2 linked regions of the Xenopus tropicalis genome follow. The protein of the gene in region 2 binds, or shares a complex with, the protein of the main gene of each other region. Links are inferred from orthologs where the notes say so. Each region holds a gene or a part of one and is shown on either strand. Other genes may lie near its edges.

What was found. The genes of interacting proteins can lie anywhere in the genome.
Region 1: the proteins of eif4a1 (region 2) and pdcd4 are in contact, whole or in part, in a crystal structure (PDB 2ZU6), measured with the Homo sapiens proteins. The link is inferred for Xenopus tropicalis from reciprocal best matches to the Homo sapiens genes EIF4A1 and PDCD4. Residues at the interface, in NP_001407.1 of Homo sapiens: Gln75, Thr109, Arg110, Glu111, Ile135, Gly137, Val140, Thr158, Gly160, Arg161, Asp164, Glu186, Leu188, Ser189, Arg190, Gly191, Phe192, Gln195, Ala214, Thr215, Met216, Pro217, Glu240, Leu241, Thr242, Asn280, Thr281, Arg282, Arg283, Thr329; in NP_055271.2 of Homo sapiens: Pro170, Gln173, Glu174, Glu177, His178, Glu183, Glu186, Met187, Asp190, Leu209, Glu210, Lys212, Glu249, Leu250, Leu252, Asp253, Thr254, Pro255, Arg256, Gly320, Gln321, Gln322, Ser323, Val324, Leu327, Glu348, Lys352, Glu355, Val356, Pro357.

The regions. Positions count from the first base shown.
Region 1 is NC_030683.2:2,643,382-2,647,060, reverse strand, and holds part of pdcd4 (programmed cell death protein 4), read left to right. Parts: intron 1-1,477; coding exon 1,478-1,699; intron 1,700-2,189; coding exon 2,190-2,287; intron 2,288-3,679. UniProt on the Homo sapiens protein: Inhibits translation initiation and cap-dependent translation. May excert its function by hindering the interaction between EIF4A1 and EIF4G. Inhibits the helicase activity of EIF4A. Modulates the activation of JUN kinase.
Region 2 is NC_030679.2:152,585,964-152,589,420, forward strand, and holds the end of eif4a1 (eukaryotic initiation factor 4A-I), read right to left. Parts: intron 3,116-3,457; coding exon 3,006-3,115; intron 2,712-3,005; exon of another isoform or gene 2,571-2,711; intron 2,489-2,570; coding exon 2,345-2,488; intron 2,009-2,344; coding exon 1,871-2,008; intron 1,638-1,870; coding exon 1,548-1,637; intron 1,465-1,547; coding exon 1,385-1,464; intron 1,185-1,384; coding exon 1,040-1,184; 3' UTR 594-1,039; downstream 1-593. UniProt on the Homo sapiens protein: ATP-dependent RNA helicase which is a subunit of the eIF4F complex involved in cap recognition and is required for mRNA binding to ribosome.

The DNA.
Region 1 (3,679 bases), on a different chromosome or scaffold from region 2:
CTAAAGAGTGTGACAACCTTCTTGTAAACATACTCACCACCTTTTTGCCTTAGGGTTACCTTTGCGGCACTATAGGACTGAGCCTTGCGAGATACATATAAGGAATGATATACTTAGTTTGGGTTTGGTGAGACCAGGGCCAAGCCTGCTGTAGAGAGATTATTAATTCAACATACTAAAATGTTAATGCAGACACACAGAATGTACTGGATAACTCCAGATAGTCCTATAGCGAAATTATATAGTATAATATGAGCACTAGACAAAAAGTTACCAAATAGCAATGAATTATCACTATGTTTGTATATCGATAAATAATTATATTATAGTACGGCAATGAAGAAACGCCTCAATGACAGAGCGCAACAGTGCCCTAATGAAGGGCTGCAGATGATACAGCATCCTAAAAAGATATACTGCAGCAGATTATATTAATGTGCCATACATCTCCTCTCTGAACTGTAAAGGGAAAACTGTTGAAACACATACTGTATTCAATAGAATGACCAGACTTCCTGCAGTTTTACATATGCTGTAAAGTACAGATAGGAACAGGAAGAGAGGGAAAATAGCCAAAGAAGAGGCCATAGTGTAACACTAGGGCAATACCCCAGGGAAAATAAAAGACTTAGAACATATGCCAAGAATTATTGGTGAAACACTGCGTCCATAAAAAGCTGTTTAGGAGTTAAAACTAAACCAGCCTATAAATATATGGTAAAAGATCATAATATTAAAGAGCTTGCTCCATGTGTCCCAATATAAAATGTAACTGCCGGACTGTGTATATAGAAATGAAAGTATTTGCTATACAAATAATACTGAGTCTTAACGACAGATTAACACTGATGAAATGTTCTTTGGTAATAATTTAATACCATATTCACCACTTTTGCACCCCTGCATCATAATACTCATACTTACAGTTTGGATGCAAACACCGGCTTATTGCGCATATCCCAAAGGCTTTGCGACTGACTGCGATGGTAGGCACAATTCGGCCATGGTTCAGATTGAACCCTCACAGGCCCCACACAGGCTATAATACCCGGACCTGGAGCTTCAGCAGGTAGAGCTCAGACATCCTGCCGGTACTAGGGGTGAGCTCGAGTGACAGAAAATGAGATGGATGCCTGGGGGCGGGGAGCCAAATTTATTGAGAACTTGTTAATTATGGTCACGTGACAGGGGATTAACCCATAGTTGCCCACTGCCATGCGAAGGAACAGGAAAGACTCTCTGCCCCACTCCCTGTAAGCTTCCATCTGGGTGTTCTAGTCCCACCCACTGCCTGAGTCACAGACCCTCTGCCACGCTCCCTGTAAGCTTCCATCTGGGTGTTCTAGTCCCACCCACTGCCTGAGTCACAGACTTTTTGCTCCCTGTAAGCTTCCATCTGTGTGTTCTAGTCAACTATTATTAGAATACATGTTTTTGGGGGGCAATATGAAGCTATTAAATGTCTGGTTTCCTGCAGGAAATGTTAAAAGGTTTAAACCTTGGTGAAATGAAATGTGGCCTGCCGGTGTTGGCCGTGTCCCTCGCTCTGGAAGGGAAAGCCAGCCACCGGGAAATGACATCCAAGCTTCTCTCCCATCTCTGTGGGACCCTACTTAGCACTGAGGATGTAGAACGTTCATTCGACAAACTCCTCCAGGAGATGCCGGAACTGGTTTTGGATACACCCCAAGCTCCACAGGTTTGTTCATGTGCGATATGGCATTTTCACTATTATTGGTGCAAATCCACAGGTTGCACATCAGTGTCATAAAATAGATTTGTTGTTGGGATCTTCACTTAGAAAATGAATCAACTTTGATGCCCTGAAATCTCCAGAACAAAAAGCTAAAAACAGAAAAATCAATAAAAAAATAACATTAAATTGCAAGTTTTTGTGTCATACTAAATATTCATGCTCTGCCTTCCCTTTTTTTTATTAGCAAACAGTGCTTGTGCTCTGCCATAACAAATATCCACTTAGGAGGGAGAGGGCACACAGGACTTTTTCATAAATTTATTTATCTACCTGACGAAAGCTCCTGTGTGGAGCTGAAACGTTGGTCTCAATAAACCTCTGATTTATTCTATTTTTGGTCTTGCGACTCTTTTGTGAAAATCCTGTGTGCCGTCACTCCAGCCTGTATATATCTATATGCACACTGCCTTTGCTCACAGTGTTATCTTTTCAGTTGGTGGGCCAGTTTATTGCCAGAGCTGTTGGAGACGAGATCCTGAGCGCCACTTACTTAGACGGCTACAGAGGGACAGTGGACTGCGTTCATGCTCGGTGAGTTTTTCCTTGGGCAACCCATCCAGGAAAATGTCCGCTATGGAGTTTGTATCTCAGCCAGCCAATCATAGCAAAATATCTCTGCGACGACCAATTAATGAAACGTATTTGTTAGCTAGCAAATTTAAGTTTCCATAGCCAAGACATGAAATAATACAGTTTATTTGGTAATTAAAGAAAATGCTTTAACTGACTAAACACACCCTGTATCCCTGTATGTACAGTGGAGGAAATAATTATTTGACCCCTCACTGATTTTGTAAGTTTGTCCAATGACAATGAAATGAAAAGTCTCAGAACAGTATCATTTCAATGGTAGGTTTAACAGTGGCAGATAGCACATCAAAAGGAAAATGGAAAAAATAACTTTAAATAAAACATAGCAACTGATTTGCATTTCATTGAGTGAAATAAGTTTTTGAACCCCTACCAACCATTAAGAGTTCTGGCTCCCACAGAGTGGTTAGACACTTCTACTCAATTAGTCAACCTCATTAAGGACACCTGTCTTAACTAGTCACCTGTATAAAAGACACCTGTCCACAGAATCAATCAATCAAGCAGATTCCAAACTCTCCAACATGGGAAAGACCAAAGAGCTGTCCAAGGATGTCAGAGACAAAATTGTAGACCTGCACAAGGCTGGAATGGGCTACAAAACCATTAGCAAGAAGCTGGGAGAGAAGGTGACAACTGTTGGTGCGATTGTTGGAAAATGGAAGGAGCACAAAATGACCATCAATCGACCTCGCTCTGGGGCTCCACGCAAGATCTCACCTCGTGGGGTGTCAATGATTCTGAGAAAGGTGAAAAAGCATCCTAGAACTACACGGGAGGAGTTAGTTACTGACCTCAAATTAGCAGGGACCACAGTCACCAAGAAAACCATTGGAAACACATTACACCGCAATGGATTAAAATCCTGCAGGGCTCGCAAGGTCCCCCTGCTCAAGAAGGCACATGTGCAGGCCCGTCTGAAGTTTGCCAATGAACACCTGAATGATTCTGTGAGTGACTGGGAGAAGGTGCTGTGGGCTGATGAGACCAAAATAGAGCTCTTTGGCATTAACTCAACTCGCTGTGTTTGGAGGAAGAAAAATGCTGCCTATGACCCCCAAAACACCGTCCCCACCGTCAAGCATGGGGGTGGAAACATTTTGCTTTGGGGGTGTTTTTCTGCTAAGGGCACAGGACAACTTATTCGCATTAACGGGAAAATGGACGGAGCCATGTATCGTGAAATCCTGAACGACAACCTCCTTCCCTCTGCCAGGAAACTGAAAATGGGTGGTGGATGGGTGTTCCAGCACGACAATGACCCAAAACATACAGCAAAGGCAACAAAGGAGTGGCTCAAGAAGAAGCACATTAAGGTCATGGAGTGGCCTA
Region 2 (3,457 bases):
GCAGCGGCTCTGTGGGAAAGTGCTGAGCCCACAAGCACATTTCCCAACAGCTCGCGTTTTCCAGAAAGACCCTGATCCCACCAACATTCCAACTGCCCCATTAGCAGGTTATGCCCTATGTACCGGGGCAGGAAGAGCTGCTGATGGGAATAGGGGCACTAATTACATAGCAATAGGCATGGGGTAACTAGGGCAGGGAAATGGGGCCCCTCCTAATAAGGGACCATGGCTGAGCAATACAGGGGGGCTCCCAGCCAACTGAGAATGTCCCTCCCCCCCAGTAACGCTCGGCACAGTCACCAATTCACAGAATACATTTCCATGTTATTTCCCTACAGGGAATATGCGTTGCTAGGCAACAGAGCACCTGGGAGACATATGGCCAAGCACTTAAAGCGTTAAGTGCCACGGCCAATCATATTGCAGCTCGGGAACCATCATCGGCGCAATCTATCTATAGACGCTTGAGTCGTGCGAGGGCAGCACAGCCCGAAAATCCTTTCCCACCAAAAACAGCGCCTACACGGGGGGTAATAAAACAAGGGGGGTTATTGGGGGGCAGGGGGGTGAAGCCTTAAGACAGGAGACAAAACTATGTTGCAAAAATTTTTATTTAATAAATACTATACAGAAAAAGCAAATAAAATGGTATTTTTTAAATTTTGGGGAGTTTTGTAAAAAAAAAAAAAAGAAAAAACTCACATTGAGCTGCCGGATCTTAAAGGGATGAGCTGGGGGGGACTTTGGTCCACTGATTTGGTGGGAAAAAGTGACGTTTAGTGTTCACTTCAGAAGGAAAGAAACAACGGATGCAGGTTACGGCCACAATACCTCAAAATAACATTTATTGGAAAGAAAATCAGATCATGTGACAGGGAGTGGAGGCTACGCCCACTCAGGGGCGCTATGGTCATTGCTCTATACACCCCCATAATTCAGCGGATGCCCCAAAGAAAGCCGGGGCCGACTTTTTATTTTCATTTTATGCTTTTTTCTGTTTTTTTCGGGTTTTTCTGCCCCTCCGACTGCGGCGGGGGCGTTAGATGAGGTCGGCCACGTTCATGGGCATCTCCTCGACTGTGGTGTTGTAGAAAGTCTCTATGTCTTTCAGCGTGCGCTTGTCATCCTCTGTCACCATGTTAATGGCAACTCCTTTCCTACCGAAACGGCCCCCTCGGCCAATCCTAAAGGAACAGGACAGGTTAGAGGGGGAGGAGCCACAGTTAGCGGCGTGTCGGCCATGTTTAAGTTGCGGAACACAAAGGCAGCATGAACCGCGGTGGAGCATGGACGTTACTATACCAAGGGTCTACATTCTGACACCAGCATGGGCTACTGGCCAGAGAGGGAATACCCTTGGCCCAATAGGAGCCGGCCCACTTACCTGTGGATGTAGTTCTCCCTGTTGGTCGGCAGATCATAGTTAATGACCAGTGAGACCTGCTGGACATCAATGCCTCGGGCCTGTGGGCAGAACACATTGTAAGCGAACACCCCCACAAGCAGAACCAAGCGGGTTGCCCCACAAGCAGAACCAACCAACTCACCAGCAAATCTGTGGTAATCAGAACCCGACTGGATCCAGATCGGAACTCCCTCATAATGACGTCTCTCTCCTTCTGGTCCATGTCGCCGTGCTGGGGGGGGAACAAGGGGGTGAGAATTCCTCTCTAGAAACCACCAGGGGGCCGTGTCCCCACTGCATGAACCAGCTGTCGAGCACAGGGGGGGCCGCGCTGGGATGAACATGGGATCATTTCCTCTCCCCCCGCCAGATATAAGAAGCATAGTCACATGACCAGTCCTTGCCCAGTGACGGGGGTTGGGTGCAATCATGGCACCCCCACAGGCGGCCGATGGCAAAACTCACCAGGGCGGAGACAGTGAAGTCCCTCGCGTGCATCTTTTCCGTCAGCCAATCCACCTTCCGGCGCGTGTTTATGAAGATTACGGCCTGCGTGATGGTCAGTGTCTCGTACAGGTCACACAATGTGTCCAGCTTCCACTCCTGCATCGGGGGGCAAAAGGGGTTCAGCAAAAGGAAGCTCCTCCCCATCCAGCCTGGCCCCTCCCTCACTACAAGTGTCCCCACAGCATGAACCAGCCGTCAGGCACAGAGGAGCCGCGCTGGGATGAATATGGGCCGCTGCTCTCGCCCCACCAGATATAAGAAGCACAGTCACAGACAGACCAGTCCTTGCCCAGTGACGGGGCACCTTCCACCCTCGCCCCCCCCCATATACTAAAGCTTTCCTATTGGCTTTCCCCTATGAGGGGGTAATGGTGCAATCCCAACGACTGCTCCACCCCCCAGGGCCAATGGAACCCAGAGGAAGGCACCTACCTCTCGCTCCACGTTGATGTAGAACTGCCTAATACCCTCCAGGGTCAGCTCCTCCTTTTTAACCAGGATCCGGATGGGGTCCCGCATGAACTTCTTGGTCACCTCGAGCACGTCGGCGGGCATGGTGGCCGAGAGCAAAACCACCTGGGGGAGAAGACACTGTTAATCTGCAGCCACTAACTGCCCAGCACCAAGCCAATTGCCTCTTCATGTTCCAAGGGGGGCAAGTATTCAGATAGACAGTCAGATCATTTCCCAGACTCCTCTGCTCTAGCCAAACCCAACCCGCAGGACGCAGGCTGCGCAGGCCAAGGGCAGAGAGAGACGTGGGCATCAGATGACACGCATGGGATATCATCACTACACTGAGCCCCCATTGGAAAGTGAGTCTGGGGGCAACCATGAACAGTCTTATTGGCCAATAGATGCCAGGGGGAGGGCATAAGGTCTCATTGGCTGAGAGGAAATGACAGGGGGAGGGCATGAGCTCTCATTGGCTGTACAGGGAGTCGTTCTCCAATCAGTGCAGCATTGTACAAACCACAAGACAGAGGGAATGTGGTACCTCGGGGCAGGATGTTGTTGCTCAGCACGTGCCCCGTGAGGGTGGGACTATAGCCGGGGAGGTTAGGCCAATCAGGCAGAGGCTGCGGGCACTTACCTGGGCATTACTGCTCAGCTTCTGGAATATGTCGTAGATTTGATCCTTGAAACCTCTACTCAACATCTCGTCGGCTTCATCCAACACGAACATCTTTATGTATTTAGGGGCTGCGGATACAGAGCGGAGTGAGTGCTGCACTGGCGCCACGCGACAACGTACTCAATGTATGCTCCGCCCCACTCACAGCTGGATCCCCCCTTCCTGGCATTTGTGCCCACAGCATGAACCAGCCAGCAGGCATGGGGGCACAGCGCTGGGATGAATATGGGAGGTTTCTCTGCCCCCGCCAGATATAAGCAGCGATGCCACGTGACATGCCCTTGCCCAGTGACGGGGGGTGGAGCTACACATTATAGGCACTTCTATGGCAGATTCCTCTTTGCTGATGGGTAGTGAGCATATTAATACCGCACACTCTGGCCCACAGAGCTTACAATCCAAGTCCCTGA